Linked DNA regions of Mus musculus: regions 2, 3 and 4 are each reported to be linked to region 1. The links are microRNA targets in miRTarBase. Many come from high-throughput screens and were not tested one by one. Region 1 holds a microRNA gene; each other region holds the end of a gene's coding sequence.

Region 1 (4,312 bases):
AGTACTGTTTTGTTTTATTTAATTTTATTTTTTTTCCTCTTTGCTTTTTGTGAATGCTGCTTTTTGGTTGTTTCTTTTGGTTTTGGTTTTATCTTTTTTTTTTCTTCTATAAAACTATTTATTTGGGGCCATAAGTGATTCAGTATGGGAAATCAAATGATAAACAGAAAGAGATCTTATATAATGATGCATTACATCACGGAACAGAATGCTTAAGTCTTACAAGGCAAAGTAAAGATCTGGGCAGGGGTGAAGGGGGGTGGTGGTTAGAAAGGGGTGTGGTACTAGGGTGGGGGAGGGGAACACTTAGCAAATATTTTGTTCAGCATAGCTTTCCTTGCAGCTTCCTGGAAATGGATGGTTCACCTGCCTAGAGGAAAACACTCTAAATCATTCCATTTCTCTCTCTCTCTCTCTCTCTCTCTCTCTCTCTCTCTCTCTCTCTCTCTCTCTCTCTCTCTCTCTCCCCCTCTCTCCTTTTCTAACCCCCCTGCTTTTCCCTTTTAAGATCAACCACTTCTGAAGAACCAGATTCCACTTCTGTGGCCAGGAGTTTTATGCTGTGCTAAGTGTGATTGTTTTGCCCTGCATTCTGTGCTACTAAACCTTGGATCATTCCTAAAGTCCAGATTCTGCTCTTTCACAACAAGGCGAAAAGATGGGAGAGAATTTGATGAATAGTCAGGATTGAGACTGTGTATTTTCAAAAGTATTGAACTATATAATGTAATTATTCAAAGTAAAGGATCTTTTTTTGTTTTCTTACTATGTTGCCAGGATTTTAAGTTAAAGCTTGTTAGGTGGTCTTGTTCAAATAACTATGAAGTGTGCATGAAAATATTTGCTGTCTGAATAGTTTGCATATTTAAAGAGAAAAATCAACATTAATAGGTATTAAATTATGACATATTCAAAGTTTTTGTTTAAATCTTATCTGTAATAATTTAAATGAGAGTTTGAAGTGTTGTATATCCTGGGCCCACAGTAACAGTTGTGATATATAAAACTTCAATAGAAGCAAAATATCAATTAGGGCCCCATTAACTGGCATATAATCCTTTTTTAGTGTAATAGAAGTGGGTGTTGCTGTAAAAATCTGCAAGGAGCATATTTTAACCCATTTTTGTCTCCTTCTTTGGATAGAATGGGGTGATTCTTAAATGTCCATTGTCTGCTTTGTTTTTCATGCCCCACATTACTGTAAGTTCTGATCTATAGGTGGCCGTCCTGATTATTCAGCTCATCTTTGACTTTCATGTGTTACTTATGTTTCTGTCTGTGTGTTTCAATTAGTATTTAGAAGATTAAAAATAAATGAACCCAACTCTAATTCCCAAGCTGTCCGTTTACCTGGAAGAAGAATTCTCCTGCATCACACGAGACTTTGCCTAGTCCCTGAGACCCTAACTTGTGAGGTATTTTAGTAACATCACAAGTCAGGTTCTTGGGACCTAGGCGGAGGGATACCAGCAGCTTGGGACCTTATTGATTCTCGGCATAAACCACCAGAACAAAAGAACAGGCATAGATTCTGCATAGGCGCAAAGAACAATGGTTTTCTTTCTAATCAGCAAGGGTTTCACCATGACAACACCCCCAAAATACAATCTTCAGAATCGGTACTCTAAAGATATGGCACAGTAGAATAGAAATAGCGTTTGTATTTACTGTGATTATCGTATAAAAGTGTTGTAAGAGATATGTACAAGAAGTAGAATTAAAACACAAGTTCTTTTTAAAAAAATAAACATCGCTTTGGGTGTGTTTTAAGATGAAGAAGATTCATTGTAAGAGTTGTTTATATTCATAAGTTTTTGTATGCGTAGAATTATATACATTAGTTATTTCAATAAATTATGCATGCTTCCATAGAACTGTGGCTTAGACTACGTCAAATGAGATTCTAATCATACTCGAGGCCTGAAAAAGAAACGATTTACAGTTTTCTTTATTGATCTTATTCTTGTTGATACTAATATGAGAGAATATTGTTTTATACATGGTAATTTTAGCCAGTGTTTCCTTAGTCTTTTGCCCACACATAACAGTATATATGTATGAACAACTGCCTTATTCTGAGATTCACAAAGTATATATTTAGGGAAAATACAGTGCTTTTGAATTTCTACATTTCACTTTGTGTGTGTTATAAAGCATTAGAGAATGCCTATGAACTCAGCTGCTCTTGTTCACATGTAAAACACGTCTGAGATGCAGGCTTTGATCAGAATTTTCATTACCAGAAGTAAATATTCCATCCATAGCCTGTGTGACTTATTAGTCAATGATACATTAAACATGTGTTTTTTTTGATCTATAATCAATAAATCTATTCCAAATATACAGTAACATTGCAGAAATTTAGGCTTAAAACAAGGTGGCTTTCATAACACAGGCAAGAGTGACTTTGGTGTTTTAACTCTGATGTTTCACCGTAAATTGTTTTCTCCATTAGTAAATAAACCTATGAATCTATTTTAGGATATCATGTGGAGTCTTTGTTCTGTTTTTGTTAAGGTTGTTACTATTGCTCATTACTTGAAATATCAAAAAAATGCAAAGCATCTTTATTGTTTCCTAAAAATAATATAATAGTATCATAAACACAGACTACGTTGAAGTTTGTGTTGATGTCGTATCAACACAAAGAATCTTTTTAGATTCTTTCCTGGCCTCACCCCTGTCATTTATCTAGAAGCTTTAAAATCTAAGTGTGTATATAAGCATGTTTTACGACTCCATGTGAAAGGAGTAAATATAAAGTCAGAACTTTTCTTTAATCACAAAGAACTCTATGTATGTGTATCTGTGAGCATCACACAAGCTTGATTCTATTTAACAGAAGCTTTACACAGATGATCAGAGAGGAGTGTGTTTACTAACACCTGTTTTATGATAATCATAAACGATATGCAAGTGTTACTTCATCAGTTGAAATCCACAATGAACTAGGGAATAATAGTAGTCAGCTATGATAGCAAAAAATTTAAATGTAAAGGTTTTCTGTTTATGCTATGATAATGAACAGTAGTATATATTAACTTAGATTTTATAGGAGAAAAAAATGCTAAAATAAATTTCACTTCTCCTGAACATCACATATATCATATATGATATACATCATGTATCTTGCAATTTTGAACATTCTCTGTGCAAAGCATGTGTTGTGTGAGAATACTACTCACAAACAAGTCTTATGCTATAAAGGTGTGTGTGTGTGTGTGTGTGTGTCTGTGTGTGTGTGTGTGTGTGTGTGTGTACATCAGACTTTGTTTCATAAGCTACTTTATGTTGTGTGTGAATGGATGTGACTATCTCTGCATTTCTCTCTCAGCTGTCACCAGATAATGCAGTTCTGTGGATTCATAATGTGACTTGGAAAACCAGATCATTCTAAGCTTAAAATAAACAAAAAGATAAACAACAAAGAGTGAGAAGATGATGTGGTTTGCATACAAAACGCAGTGATATTAGCAATCTGATGGCTTCTGGATTGGGAGAGCAGCCTGAGCCAGACGCATACATTAAGAGCTGTCTGCTGCCCATGTGAGCTTGCTCAGTGTATTGGAAATGAGGGATCACCTCTCCTCTGACACCAGCTTATTTGTACATTTTAATTTTGAAGTAGCAAGTCACTGTTCCAAGTTCATAGACTAACCCCTGCTTGTTTCTCTCTCTCTCTCTCTCTCTCTCTCTCTCTCTCTCTCTCTCTCTCTCTCTCTCTCTCTCTCTCTCTCTCTTATTGTTTGCTAAATTACTGTCAACTTCACATTCTTTTTAGAAATAAAAATCATTACTCAACTTAGCCATTTACTGCACACTAATGAAATAGTAGTTTTCCTTTGTCTCCGTTGTGTGCCTCTAACAATATTGTGATACCTGTGTTTTTAGGTTTAGATCTCTTTCAAGGGGAACTGGACTTATTTTTTTCTACATGACAATGTTTAAAGCATTTTAGAATCCATAAAGGAGACCATTTGGAATTTTGCCAGATCTTAATATGATTATATTTTCCTTTAGGATTCTCGAGATCAATATCACTCTCAGTTTAAAATTCCTAAACATTTCAGTCTTCCACTGACACAACAGAAGCGTAGACATATTCTTAAGTCATTTCATAATCTCCCAAGGAGGAATCTCCCAAGGAGTATCTCAGGGGAATTACAGTAAAAATTAATTATTAATGAAATTAGAAAAGGTGGGGCTTACCTTAAACTCATCTTCAAAATGGCATGCTGGTACACGTGCTAACCTTGAACGAATATATTTTAAATATGCAAATGACCTTGCAAGCTGTCATGTTTGGATGAGT
Region 2 (4,151 bases), not on the chromosome of region 1:
ATTCATGCCTTAATCTCAGCACTCAGGATCTCTGAGTTTGAGGCCAGCCTGGTACAAAGCAAGTTCTAGGACAGCTAGGGCTACATAGAATAACCATGTCTTGAAAAAAAACCAAAAAACAAGACCTGAGCCCTTGTTTCAAAACAAACAGTAGAAAGAAATCCAAGAAATACAGACTGTTCTTTTTAAAAATCAGAGAACTGACTCCTGGCAGCTGTCCTATGAAAACCACATGACACATGGGCATACACACATGCAAATAAACATAATAAAAATGTTTATATGTGTGCACATGGGTACACATATACCACCTTGAGGACTCTGGGGATCAAACTCAGGTAGTGAAGCCTTTATCTTCTGAGCCATCTGGTTGGTCTTGCCCGGCATCTTTACATGGTTTTCACACTTGCAAGGCAAGTGTTTTATCAGTGAGCTATCTCTCCAGCCCTGGTTGTTTGTCTATTGTTCTTTATGATTTTCCATGTCTTTTCAATTTTTTACACTCAAAGCTCAAGTGGGCAGGGGAATGGTTAGGGCAGTGCAGCCTGCTGTAAGGAAGCTAGGGCCAGGGGCTGGAAAAGCTGTTCAGAGGGCTGGCTGCTCTTCCAGAAGATCTGAGTTCAATTCCTAGCACTTACATAGCAGCCCACAACAGTAACTCCTGATCCAGGGGATTCAACACCCTCACACAGACATCCTTGAAGTCAACATAAAATAAAAAAGAAGCTGGAACCAATAGAAGTAGGAACAGGAAGTCTAAGGTTGAGAGTGTGGTAGGAAAACCCAAGAACCCAGGTAAGGCAGAAGGCAGGGCTGGTGGGGAAGTAGTTCTCAGGACAGCAGGAAGCCAAAATTGGCATCTCTTGAACTTGGAAGTGTTTCCTTAGGAATTGGATTCAAAACTTTTAGAAGAAATGATGATCATTGTTCAGAGTGACTTCTGCCACTCCTACAGAAATCCTGTAAGGTTGCCTGTTTGCCTGGGTGTCGCAACACTGGACATCCAGCTGCAGTTTGAGCCTGCATGCAGATGCACAGAAAACAGAGTTAGGACTGTCCTCTAGTGCCCACAATCTGTCACTGCAACCATACAGGTTCCTCAGCTGTTTGAAGGCCCAGACTGACCTCAGTAGTTTATCCTTTACGTAAGCAATCCTTCTAAGGAAGAAGAAACAGAACGTGGAAAAGAAACAGTTAAATGTTCATGGAAATGAAATGAGGAAAACCGTAGCATTTTTTTTTTAATTTCAGAAAATAGTAACCAACACTGACAAGTGCCGAGGAGGGGGTAGCCTGAGGAAACACAAAATGGAGAAATCTAAGAATGAATTTCCACCAAGCTGCAGAGCCAGGACTTCGCAATCAGAAATACTAGGCCAGTGTGTGCAGCTTTCTGGCTATGGGGTTGTGTGCAAGTCACTTTGCTTTACTTTGCTGAACTTGATTCCATGCAAAGAGCACCATGGTTAGATCCCTGTCACCATGAAACCAGAAGGCCATGCCTGGATGCCAGCATTACCAGTAGCTGAATAGTTTGGAGCAGCCCATTAGGCCTTCTATGCCTCAGTGTCTTGAGGGGTAGAACAGAACCTGGCAGGGCTCTGAGATTGCCTGAGCTGAATTCTGTGGAGAGCTCAGAAGAGTGCCCCGCAAAGCCAGCCCTGGGTGTTAGCTTTCAGTGGTATATCATATCTACAAGTCACCTGGGATAAAACCAGAATTCCATTTCTCCTCTTTCTGGAAAATCTGGCTTGATTAAAACCCTGTTGTCCCCATCACACACACAGCTGAAGAAGGGACTATTCGTCCTAAGCCAGATCAGCACTCCACAGTACCCTCAGGTCTGTGGCTCTCACTGCCTTTTCTCCACAGACCTTGCTACATAATCTAGTCACTTGAATTCAGTTCCCAATCTTCTGCTGGTATTTTAAAGAAGCAAAACCAACAAGCTCTCCTTGTGTTTGAATTCCTTTGACTGCCCAGAAAGGAAGCTGTGGATCAGAATGTACCCGACCTAACATCTCTGGAAGGAGGCAGAGCATGCCACCCTGCAATGGTGAAACCTGGGACTGGCAGTAGCTGTGCCCGTCTGTATACCACCAGGAAAACACTCGCTTCCCATGGCCACTCCAAGGGCATCCTGCATGTCTGTCCTTCATTCTCTTTATGCTTGGAACTTAAGGATACAAAGGTGGCCAACAAGCACCTTTTGTTCATTTACTGCCAAGTAGCCAGAGAGAGCAGCCAGCATATTACGCTGAATCAGCCCTGTATCTGTCAGTCATGACCACACCAGCAAGCTTTCCACTGGTGAAAAAGACCTCAGGAGTTCATGGAAGTTCTGGACCAGGTACATAAGCCAGAGCTGGGGCTGGGGAAAAGAAACACGCATGAGCTTATACAAAAATGTTTTATTTGCTGTTCATATTTCTTCTTCTCATACTGAGCCCCTGACCCAAAACCCAGCCAGCTTCTAAGGCATCCTGTTGTCTGGTTCTTGAATGTGGGGCACTATGAAAATGACTAGACATTGTAAAAAGTGGGAGTCCCCCCGCTCCCACCAGAAACAGAAGTTGGAAGAAGCTTTCTTGCCTGGCTGAAGCTACAGAAGCTTCCCAAGGTGGTCCCTTAAGTCAGAGGGTCCTCCCCACTGGATGGATGTGAGGAAGAAATAACATGTCTTTCAGAGGCCTGGAGCTGAACCAGTAGTCTCTTAAGACAGAGCTCAGAAGTAAGGGGTGTGTGTGTGTGTGTGTGTGTGTGTGTGTGTGTGCATGCCTGTCTGTGTGTGTGAGAGTGTATGTGTGTGTGTGTCTGTGTGTGCTCACTGCAGTTTTAAGGTGCTAACCAGGAAGAGGTTGGCCTAGTGGAACTGAGATGTGAATGTAGGGATAGAACGGGAAAAGAGAGGATGTATTTTGAGCAGGGCCACCTGTGAAGAACAGTTATAGCCCTTATGGGAGTGGTCATTACAACTACCAGGAAGAGGAAAAAGAGAGTCCTGTCCTCTCCTAGACAAAGGACAAATGACACAATAAACACTTTTGGTCTGAGAGTGCCAGAAAAGGGCACTCATTGGCACAGAAAAGGGCAAACAGCCCTCATCTGCCAGACATGGGCTTGGTTACCTCACAGACCACCACAGCCCACTCTGGGTACCATCATCCCTGTCTCTGCCATTCCTGCCCTAGTACAAGCTCTGTCGGAGACTAACACTGCCAGTCAGACTCTGATTGGTGGGCAGAAGCAAGGGTCCTGAAGTGCAGGGTCCTGATTCTGACATGAGGCCTACCAATCGCTGTATTCAACTTGTTTCCATGGCCTGGCTGCTTCTAGCCAGACATACACAGCTCTTCTAGGCAGACACTTGGCCCACAGACTCTGTCAGATGAGACCCAGAGGTGTGCTCTCAGGAAGAGCCATAGAAAGGTGTACATTTGTCTTTCCCATCCTAGGACCTGCCCTGCAGGCTCAGAAGTCCGAGTCTGCATCCAAGATCTCAGCCTCCATTAGGTTAGTGCGGGAATGAATGGATCCCAGCCCCTGGAGGCGGCCCTGAGCCCAGACCCGGGGGGCTGAGGCACCAGGGAGAAATGGATCTTGATGGGGACTAGGCTCTGGGCAGAAGGGGTTGGAGACTAGAGTCCAGGCTCCCTGTCGGCAGGACTCCCCTGTTCCCCAGGCGTTTGCAGCTACCAGGCACTTCTGCCGAGGCAGCTGAGGCAGCCGAGGAACTGCACTGGTGGCAGGAACAGGGGCAGAGTGGTGAAGCTCAGGGGCTGGCCTCAAGGGGCACACCTCCTTCTTCCTCTTCCTCCGCTTTTTCTTCCGGCCCAAACGCTTCTCTAACTCTGGGGAGATCTCTGCCTCAACCAGCCACATGTTGGCTTGTTCTTCTGGTGGCACTGTCAGGGGGACAAAGAGCACAGCTTAGGGCTTTGTTCTGTTCTTTCCACCCTTCCCTCCCAGAATCCCTGTTCTTGGGTTCTGGGACCCGTCCCTCCAGGCTTCCCAAGCCTTGGCATCTCCTTCAGGTCCTCTGGGGCCTTTCCTTCCTTCCCCTAGTTCTACAACCCCATACATTCATTCCAAAGTGTCCACCCACCCCTCCTTCCTGCAGAAGACAGAGCCCTCATACCTGGAGTTGCCAC
Region 3 (4,151 bases), not on the chromosome of region 1:
TTTATTTATTTATTTATTTATTTATTTATTTATTTATTTTGGTTTTTCGAGGCAGGGTTTCTTTGTGTAACAGGCTGGCTATGCTGTTCTGAACCAGTTCTCTAGATCTTAAATTCTATCTTTTTTATTTATTTATTTATTTATTTATTTATTTATTTTGGTTTTTCGAGGCAGGGTTTCTTTGTGTAACAGAACCCTGGCCGCAGGACTCACTTTTTATACCAGGCTGCCCTCGACCTCTGCTTCCCAAGTGCTGGGATTAAAGGCGTGTACTACCGCAGATGCCCCCTAACTTCTTAGCCTTTGAGTGTGCTCTAGGCTGCCTGTCTCCCGGGGCCATGAGTCTCTGTGGGGGCACTAATGCACATGAATTTTCCTTGGTTCTCCTGATAACCTCTATGCACATACATGTCTTTGCAGCTTCTTTGGTTTCTATGATGCCAATGAGACAGTTCTGGAGATGGAGGAGCAGCCGGTAAGCCCCTCCAAAGACTTGCCTTCCCCCTCCCTTTGTCTCCACTTCACTCTGGGGCTCCTTCTGCCTCTGACTCCTGCTTCATGAGGGAGGGAGAGGTTGGTCTGGACATGAGCAGCGTCTCACTCCTGTCTCTCTTTCTTCCATGTTTCCATGGCCCTCGGCCCACCTCGAAGGTGTATCTTCGAGATTCTTTTGGGTTGAAGACTCTCCTGGCCCGGGGGGCCATAGTGAGGTGTCCCATGGCTGGCATCTCTCACACCACGTGGCACTCTAACCGTACGCTCTACGATACTTGCATTGAGCCGTGGCTCTCCTGAAGATGTCCTCAGTGGTCTCCAGGAATTCCCCAGCCCAGAGATCAAGCGGTGGCCTTGGGAAGCAGATGCCAGGCTCTGGCATGCCTGCAACCATCTTGTCATTCCCACACTGCCCGACCCCCACCAGGGCTCCCCTCCCCCCTCCCCCCCTGCTCCTCTGTGAATGACAAGTCCTGGTCCCCTACCTCATGTCCTCACTTGGGGACGCCTCCACGCTCTCCCTTTCTGCCACGGCTGAGGTTGGGAAGCAAGTGCCAGGTTTTTAACTGTGGCTTCACCGCTGCTGTTGCTTCTCCGGGTCTGGCTGTATCGGAGGAGAACCCAGCCCCTGCCCACCTCAGGGGTCTTCTTCCAGGCCACTCAGGACATTTTTAGCTTCTGTTATCCCCGTTTCCCTCTTTTCTCAACTTCCCTGTGGCTAGCCTCCCCACCAAGAGGGGCACCCATAAGAGGGGGTGTTCTGAGGCTCCCCTATGGGGACAATTCCACTTTTGAAGTGTCAGTGTTGGGGAATATCTGTGGCCTGCAAGGCCCATCTCAGGTTTGGGGATCCCCCAGTCCCTATGATCAGTGTTGGGGTATCCCCTGGGAGCCTAGGTTCTTTGAGGCCCCAGCCCCTCTTTTAACTACCCTTGAGTGGGTGGTCCCTGTATTTATAGAAATAAAAGATCCATTTCCTCAGCGTGGCTTGGCTTATTCCCAGGTGAAGGGGAACTGGGCTCCCCCAGGAGGGTGGGAATAGAGAGCCTGGGGCCTGGATGCCCGGATGCTTGGTCTGGGGTGGGGACCCCCTTGGTGTTTCCTTCCTCTCAATGCCCATTCTGTGTGGGTTCCTGACTCTGCGGGTTCTTTCCTGCTGAAGACAATTCTCTTCCTGTCCCAGCCTAGGGTTAGGGGGCTAAGCCCCAGGCTCTGCCAGTTTGGGCCTCGGCCTCATGGGTGGAATTGACATGCCACCCCCAGACTAGACAAGGGGGCTGAGGGTCAGAGTGGGCATGTGTCATCCCCCTTGACCTTTGGAGGCCAGGACCGGGTGAGGGGCTGTACAGTGAATCTCCCTTTGCCTGGGAGGAGGAATTTAGACTGAGACAATAGGGCCCTGTCTGTTCTGGCTTGGGGGTGGTGCCCCTCAGCCCCCAACAAATGCCATCAAGAGATGGAGACAGTTTTTCCCTTGGTGCCTTGGGCTGCCCCTGCCCTTCTGTGACGGCCGCTTTCTTTCCTCAGCCGATCTGGCCTACTTGGCCATGACCTGCTCTTGCTTTGTCTCCCGCCCTCTCTCCCTGCCCTCACATTATCCCACAGTCTCTTAGGCTGAAAGGGGGTGGGGTACTGGTTGCTATTAGAGCCGGGAACTTCTGATTTGGGGTCCATAATTCAGGGACCTCCGAAATTGTGTAGGTCCTGCTGGAGCAACACTTGGCTGAAGAGAAGAAGGTGAGGAAGGCAGGGCCTGTCTACTGAGCCAACCAGCCTGGGTCTGAGGAGCTAGTGGGAGGGAGACTGCTGTGTGGTCCAGCCCCTCTGCATCTTCTCAGCCAGAGAGGCCCACCCACCAGTGTAAGCTGCGGCTGCTGGGGCTGTTGCTGCTGCAGCCTCCTGGACAGGGAAACAGGTAGGAAGAGGAGAAGTGGGTAGGTAGGGAGAGGAAGTCAGTGGTGGGAAGAACCCACATCACTTCACCTTCCAGTGGGGACGAGGGAGGGGGAGGGCTTCTGAGTGAGGGGTGTCGGTATGATGAGAGTGTGGGGGAGCGGTGGATGCTTGGGTCGGGGTATAAGGTGTGTACACTTGTGAAGGTGACATATTCTAAGGCAGTGTGCAAGGGATGTGCAGGAAGGCTGGCCAGGAGCATTTAGAGTGGTGAGCCTGGCTGAGGACGGAGGGACCATGACTTGGTACTGGCAGGGCACGTTGGTTAGGTGTGCAGGCCACTGCAGACCATGGGAGTGGCTTGGGAAAGTCAGTGTCCTGACCACCAAGTCAGATTGCTTTAGGAGGGCCTCACCTAGAGACCCAAGGAGAAGGGAAGAGCTCCAATAACCACTTGTCTGCAGCCCTCAGAGTGAGGGAGCCATGGGGCTCTGGGCTGAGCTGTGCATTTCCCTACGAGGACTCTCATTCTTCCTGGTGCTGATGACGGGCGAAGGGACCAGAGGAGGATCTTTCAAAGAGAGGTGACAGCCAATGGGGAGGGCTTTGCTGGGATGGGGTTTGCCATGGGACAGAAAATTGAAAGTTCAGAATGAAGGCGAGATGCCAGGGTGGGAGGGGGGCGCCTGGTCTCAGCTGTGTGAGGTGCTGAGGGCCCGACACCCTCCTCCTCCCTGGTGTGCCTACAGTTTGGGAGTGTGCTCCAAGCAGACGCTGCTGGTTCCTCTCCGTTACAACGAGTCCTATAGTCAACCGGTGTACAAACCCTACCTGACCTTGTGTGCGGGGAGGCGCATATGTAGCACCTACAGGTGAGAGGTGAAGCCCCTAAGGCTCCCAGGTCTCAAAGGGACCCCAAGAGGCAAGTCCAGGATGGGTACCTACAGATATGAGCCTGCTTCTGTGTTCTAGGACCACATACCGTGTGGCCTGGCGGGAGGTGAGGCGGGAGGTACCACAGACACACGTGGTGTGCTGTCAGGGCTGGAAGAAGCCACACCCAGGAGCTCTCACCTGTGATGGTGAGGAGGCTGGGACTTCAGGCTGTGGGAGGCTTGCTGGGAGCTGGCCCTGTGTCTGGGTCTTAACTGTCTTCTCAAATGGACCCCAGCCATCTGCTCCAAGCCTTGTCTTAATGGAGGTGTCTGCACTGGACCAGACCGGTGCGAGTGTGCCCCAGGCTGGGGAGGAAAGCATTGCCACGTGGGTGAGCAGGATGGTCCCCCTCCCCCTGTCACACACATACACACACACACATGGGCAATGGGGGTGGGTGCTGAGATGGGGACTGCCCCACTCACCCTGCATCCTGCCTGCCCCCTTGAGCTCTCTTCTCTTTCTGGTAACTAGATGTCGATGAATGCAGGGCCAGCCTTACCCTCTGCTCTCATGGCTGCCTCAACACACTGGGCAGCTTCTTGTGCAGCTGTCCACACCCCCTGGTGCTGGGTCTCGATGGACGCACCTGTGCAGGGGGGCCTCCAGAGTCCCCGACAAGTGCCAGCATCCTCAGTGTGGCAGGTGAGTGTGGGTTGCCTGTGGGGTGGGCCTGGTCTGTGCTGCGGGGGAAGGCCACACTCTCTTTTTCCTTTGTCCTAGTTCGGGAAGCAGACAGCGAAGAGGAGCGAGCCCTGAGGTGGGAGGTTGCAGAGCTTCGTGGGCGTCTGGAGAAGCTGGAGCAGGTGAGCAGCTGGGAGAGGCAT
Region 4 (4,151 bases), not on the chromosome of region 1:
GAAGCCAGCACAAAGCTGTGCTCTTTCATTTTCTGACCTTTTGTGCCATTTGCAGAGTAGGCAAGGGGATGTGGGGGACACACGGAGTTAATGCCCTCCTGTGGTGGTGGTCAGCAGAGATGAAGTCAGGATTCTCTGCTTTGCCCAGGTTGCTAAAGCCTTAGAGTCTAAAAGATCCAGTATGAGCTACTGGCCACTAAGGAGAAGTAGGTTACTGGCATCTGTTGCAGTCAGGAGGGTGCCCACCCGTATCCCTCCAGAGGGCAGAGGCTCAGTACAGACAGGCAACAGGACTGGGAATTTCTGTTCAACAGATCTCTAAGTCCCCAAACAGAGGAGAGAGAGCACCAAGAGGTAAGGGTGGATGGTCTCTTTTGTGTTTACCCAGGCTTGCACTTACACACACACACAGCCTATACAAGCAAATGACTGCTTTCAAGCAGCAGTTAGCTGGGGGTTTATCACGAATGATTTGCACACTTGACCCTATATCCACAGCCCTTACCATCACTTGGTTGAGAAATTTAAGGCAACTGGCAGAGGGGCTAGTCTGGGAAAAGAAAAAGGGATGGCACCCCTCCCCCTCCCCACACCACCACACACATCCAGGTGCAAAACGCAGTTGAGAAGGGACAATGGGCAAGTGGGACACAATGCCCCCACCCCGTGGCAGCCTCTACGTACCACGTGGTGTACCGTGCTTACTGGAGGTCCCAGGGAGCAGGGCCAGGAGCAGGAGCGCAGTGCCCACCATGGCGGCCTGTCCAGGTTCGAGTGCTCCAGACCGGCAGCGAGCACCTGGCTGGGCTGTACCCAGCCCTCTAGGTGTGGGTAGGTAGCCCTGGCCTTGGTGAGGCTGCCACCCTGGGAAGCAGGGAGCGGGGGCGGAGGATGGAGGGGCTGACATCTGAGCACATGCTCAAGGCCAGCCATGGATAAGGGCTTTCTTGATGTACTGAAATTTCTACAAGGGGGGCCCCTCACAAAGCTGCCTGATGCCTTCGGTCACTCCAAACACCTCCCACCCAGCTCCCGGCCCGGCTAGTTTCCCATGAATGTCATCCCTAACCACACTAAAAGCCCTCCTCCCAGGCCCTTCCCATATCTCTGTACACTCTACCAGGCTTAGGACACCAGACTCGGAAGAAAAGGGAAGGGTTTTATTCTCAAGCGTCTAAGGATTTACAAACAAGGGTATTTTGTTTTAAAAAGGGAAGAGGGCAACACTGGTGGCCTGAGGAGGAGGTCAGAGGGTGGGACCAGGCCACTCCAGGTCCCTACCTGCCCGAGACCCACTCTGCCTGGGCCTGAGGGATGGCTGGTGACAGAGGGAAGGACTTGGGAGAAGGTGGGGAAGTGGGAGACTCCTCCAGACTCCCACTTAACATTAGAGGGCAGTAGACAAAGACAACACAGACAGACAGACAGACAGACAACACACAGAAAATAAAGTTAAATAAAAATAAAACCATCAGGCCCAGTCTTGGGCCTGTGCTGGCCCTGGGACCAGCCATGTGACCTAAGTACACACAAAGGCTAGCCATGCTGCGGCCAGCCTCAGAATGGTAAGGGTGGGGCCGGGCTTGCTACTCTCTCCCTACTTCATTCCGCCTCCCCAACACAGGAGATAAGGAGAGAGGGTGCCCTACCCTACCCGGGCATAGAAGATGACTTCTATTACGATTTAAGCATGCGGCATTGTGAGAATAGGATGAAGAGGCGTCAACAGGACAGTTAAGAGCCACAGTGTCACCTAAGCCTACGTATGGTTGCATCAGCTACTTCCAGCAAGGTTTCTCAACTTTGGTGCTGGGATTTGTGGTTGTAAATTTTTTTGTTTTGTTATATTGTTCTCTTGTCCACTTGAACTGCATGCATCACCAACAAAAAGGAAACATACCCCACTCTGTCCTCGAAACTGCAGGACAATGGGACAGGCACCTGGCCCAGTCCAGGCCACAGGTTGGGTTGGAGCTGGTCAGCTCTAGGTGAGCTAAAGCATGCTCAGGGGCATGTTGGGAGTAAGTCGCGTCGCATCCCAATACTCTGGCCTCCCCTGCATTCACGCCTGTCCGTCTCGTCCCTGATTCACATGCTCGGACCTCCACATCTACTCCCTTCACTCCTAATCCCTGACTTCTCGGGACCCCTCCTGCCCCTTGGCAGGATTCCCTCCTGTCACTGTTCCCAACAGTCCCTCCCTGCTACCTGCTACTCTCTACTGCATCCCTCATACACCTTCCCTGAAGGCCATCGTGTGGCTGAGGCCCCTGGTCTCCCTCTGTGCCACCTGAGCTCTTCTACTCAACCCCAAACTGTCAGCAGCTCCCAGTCCCATGTGAGGGTCCCCCATGGAGCCTGGCCTCTCCTAGGCCAGAAATGACAAGGAGCAGCAAGCAGTCCAACCCCCAATGCCTGAGGCAATGGAGGAGAGGGGGCCACCACAAGCAGCTAAACATTACTTTGGTAAAATTTTCTGAAGGTACCGACCCCATGAGGACACCCCCCCCCCAACACACCCCCACCAAGTACAATAAAATACAATAAACTCCAAAAGGACCCCCTGAGATCAAAGAGAGACAGACAGACACAGAGACAGCAACCATTTGGCTGCAGTCACAATGCCCACAAAGCCATCCTAGGACAAAGACTTAAGGAAGCCTAGATGAACCTGGGGCTTCCTTCCACTGAGGGTAGAGTGGCGGCACCCAGGCTTCAGAGGCTGGGAGGGAGACAGGGGAACCAGAAAGGGACAGTGGTAGAGAGGGAGGGGACAGAAGGAAAGACGTAGAGCAAGCATGTGTGCGAGAGAAGGTGGAGGGGACAGACACTGGGAGTTTGGGGGGATGGGGACAAGGGGCTTTCTCTCTGCCCCTGGGGGTTACCCCAGCCCAGAGGTTATGATTGAATAAATAGCGAGTCTGCTCATGGCCTGCTGTCTTCCGTTCACAGTGTCTGTCGGGGTGGGATGGGGCTCACACTGCTGGCTGACCCCAGAGTGGGAGGGATTAGGAACCAGCATGCCCTTTTGTCCACAGCTGGTAGGCAGGGAGTCAGAGCTGGATGGGAACCCCCTACTTTCTGTCCTCAGTCCTTGGCAGTCGTCCAGGTCCCAGGTCCCCTGATGGGCAGCTGGGTTGGCCAGGTTGGGGGGGGGGTCGGTGGCCGTGGCCCGGGGCCCCTGCGGGGCTGGCCGCTGCCATGAGGCTACCTGAAGAAGGGCAGATGGTGCTGACTCAGGACTCCACTAGTCCTTGGGGACTCGGTCTTCGCCATGACATCCTTAAACCAGGACGCGACATCCACCTCGAGTATCTCATAGTGCTTGATGAAGCTGTGTTCCTGTAGGCCCAAGAGTTTGCTTATTATGAGGAGTCAGTCCTCCTGGTCTTGCAACTGAGACCCGGAGGACTTCACACGTGGTGGGGGTTGGGGGAGAGGTACTCACAAGTAGCTTATTATACTTTGGTCTCTTCCTGTGATCTTTAGTAAGGCTGGACAAAGAGCAGGGAGAAAAGAGAAATGAGAGTCAGAAAAATGAAGCCCGACTGTGCCTGGATGCCCATCTATGCTCAGGCCCTCCCTCTCCAGTAAGCCAGAAGCAGCTGCTCACAGCCAGGCTCCACCAGGCTGGGGATCCACAAACTCTCCTGGCCCAATATAGTATTAGGTAAAGACCCAGCTGGGGAGCTGGAACCACGCGCAATGTGAGGGTCACATCAGAGAAAGTTAAGACTCAAGTGTGATATTCCTACACAACCTCCATTGCAAAGCCACAGGGTCGCCATGCCAGACACCCACAGGGCCAGCGGTTCCCCACAGGTCCAAACAAACCCAAAAAGTGACTCCCAGGGCTCCAGCTTTAACTCCTGTCTACAGCCACAAGCCATGGGTGTACCTGTAGCTGTGCCCATCTCATCCCGTCCCCTTTTCCCAGCCTCCACCCTCCCCAGTAGCATGAGGACACCAGACATTCCAGAACATCCCGGAGTAGAGAGGTAGGAGCCAGGACAGGCAGCATGGGAGTGCTCACCAGTCTTTGACAAATGACTGGAAGTCCCCTGAGAAGCCCATGTGACCAGGCAGGAGTGGGGGCTCTTCCTGTAGGACTTTGGTGAGGACCTCAAAGTCCGTCTTGCAGTTCTTATAGG

Evidence for each region. Region 1 holds the annotated microRNA mmu-miR-125b-5p (UCCCUGAGACCCUAACUUGUGA, at 1,393-1,414, shown strand). A microRNA usually pairs through its seed, bases 2 to 8, with sites in the 3' UTR of a target mRNA and lowers its output. Matches are read on the target gene's strand: a 7mer-m8 pairs with bases 2 to 8, a 7mer-A1 pairs with bases 2 to 7 and ends in A, and an 8mer does both.
Region 2: miRTarBase lists Smo as a target of mmu-miR-125b-5p. The part of its 3' UTR that is shown has no 7-base or 8-base seed match.
Region 3: the mRNA of Ppt2 is a reported target of mmu-miR-125b-5p. Seed matches in the 3' UTR shown: 7mer-m8 at 1,132-1,138.
Region 4: miRTarBase lists Map2k7 as a target of mmu-miR-125b-5p. Seed matches in the 3' UTR shown: 7mer-m8 at 2,562-2,568, 7mer-A1 at 2,241-2,247, 7mer-A1 at 2,130-2,136 and 7mer-A1 at 2,081-2,087.

The regions. Positions count from the first base shown.
Region 1 is chr16:77,644,887-77,649,198 of GRCm38, forward strand. Mir125b-2 (microRNA 125b-2) reads left to right here and starts at 1,387; the gene lies at 1,387-1,457.
Region 2 is chr6:29,759,606-29,763,756 of GRCm38, reverse strand. Smo (smoothened, frizzled class receptor) reads right to left here. Exons shown (of 12, transcript NM_176996.4): 11 at 4,139-4,151; 12 at 2,391-3,905. The coding sequence ends at 3,472. Among named protein-coding and RNA genes, the nearest start is that of Ahcyl2, 6.8 kb to the left of the region's middle.
Region 3 is chr17:34,613,988-34,618,138 of GRCm38, reverse strand. Ppt2 (palmitoyl-protein thioesterase 2) reads left to right here. Exons shown (of 9, transcript NM_001302396.1): 8 at 421-475; 9 at 652-1,477. The coding sequence ends at 795. It overlaps Egfl8 (EGF-like domain 8), which reads left to right and starts at 2,168. Exons shown (of 9, transcript NM_152922.3): 1 at 2,168-2,232; 2 at 2,853-2,972; 3 at 3,138-3,260; 4 at 3,361-3,470; 5 at 3,560-3,655; 6 at 3,799-3,969; 7 at 4,048-4,130. The coding sequence starts at 2,872.
Region 4 is chr8:4,244,886-4,249,036 of GRCm38, reverse strand. Map2k7 (mitogen-activated protein kinase kinase 7) reads right to left here. Exons shown (of 12, transcript NM_001164172.1): 10 at 4,034-4,151; 11 at 3,449-3,494; 12 at 1,140-3,342. The coding sequence ends at 3,208. Tgfbr3l (transforming growth factor, beta receptor III-like) reads right to left here and starts at 823. Exons shown (of 7, transcript NM_001195258.1): 1 at 685-823. The coding sequence starts at 754.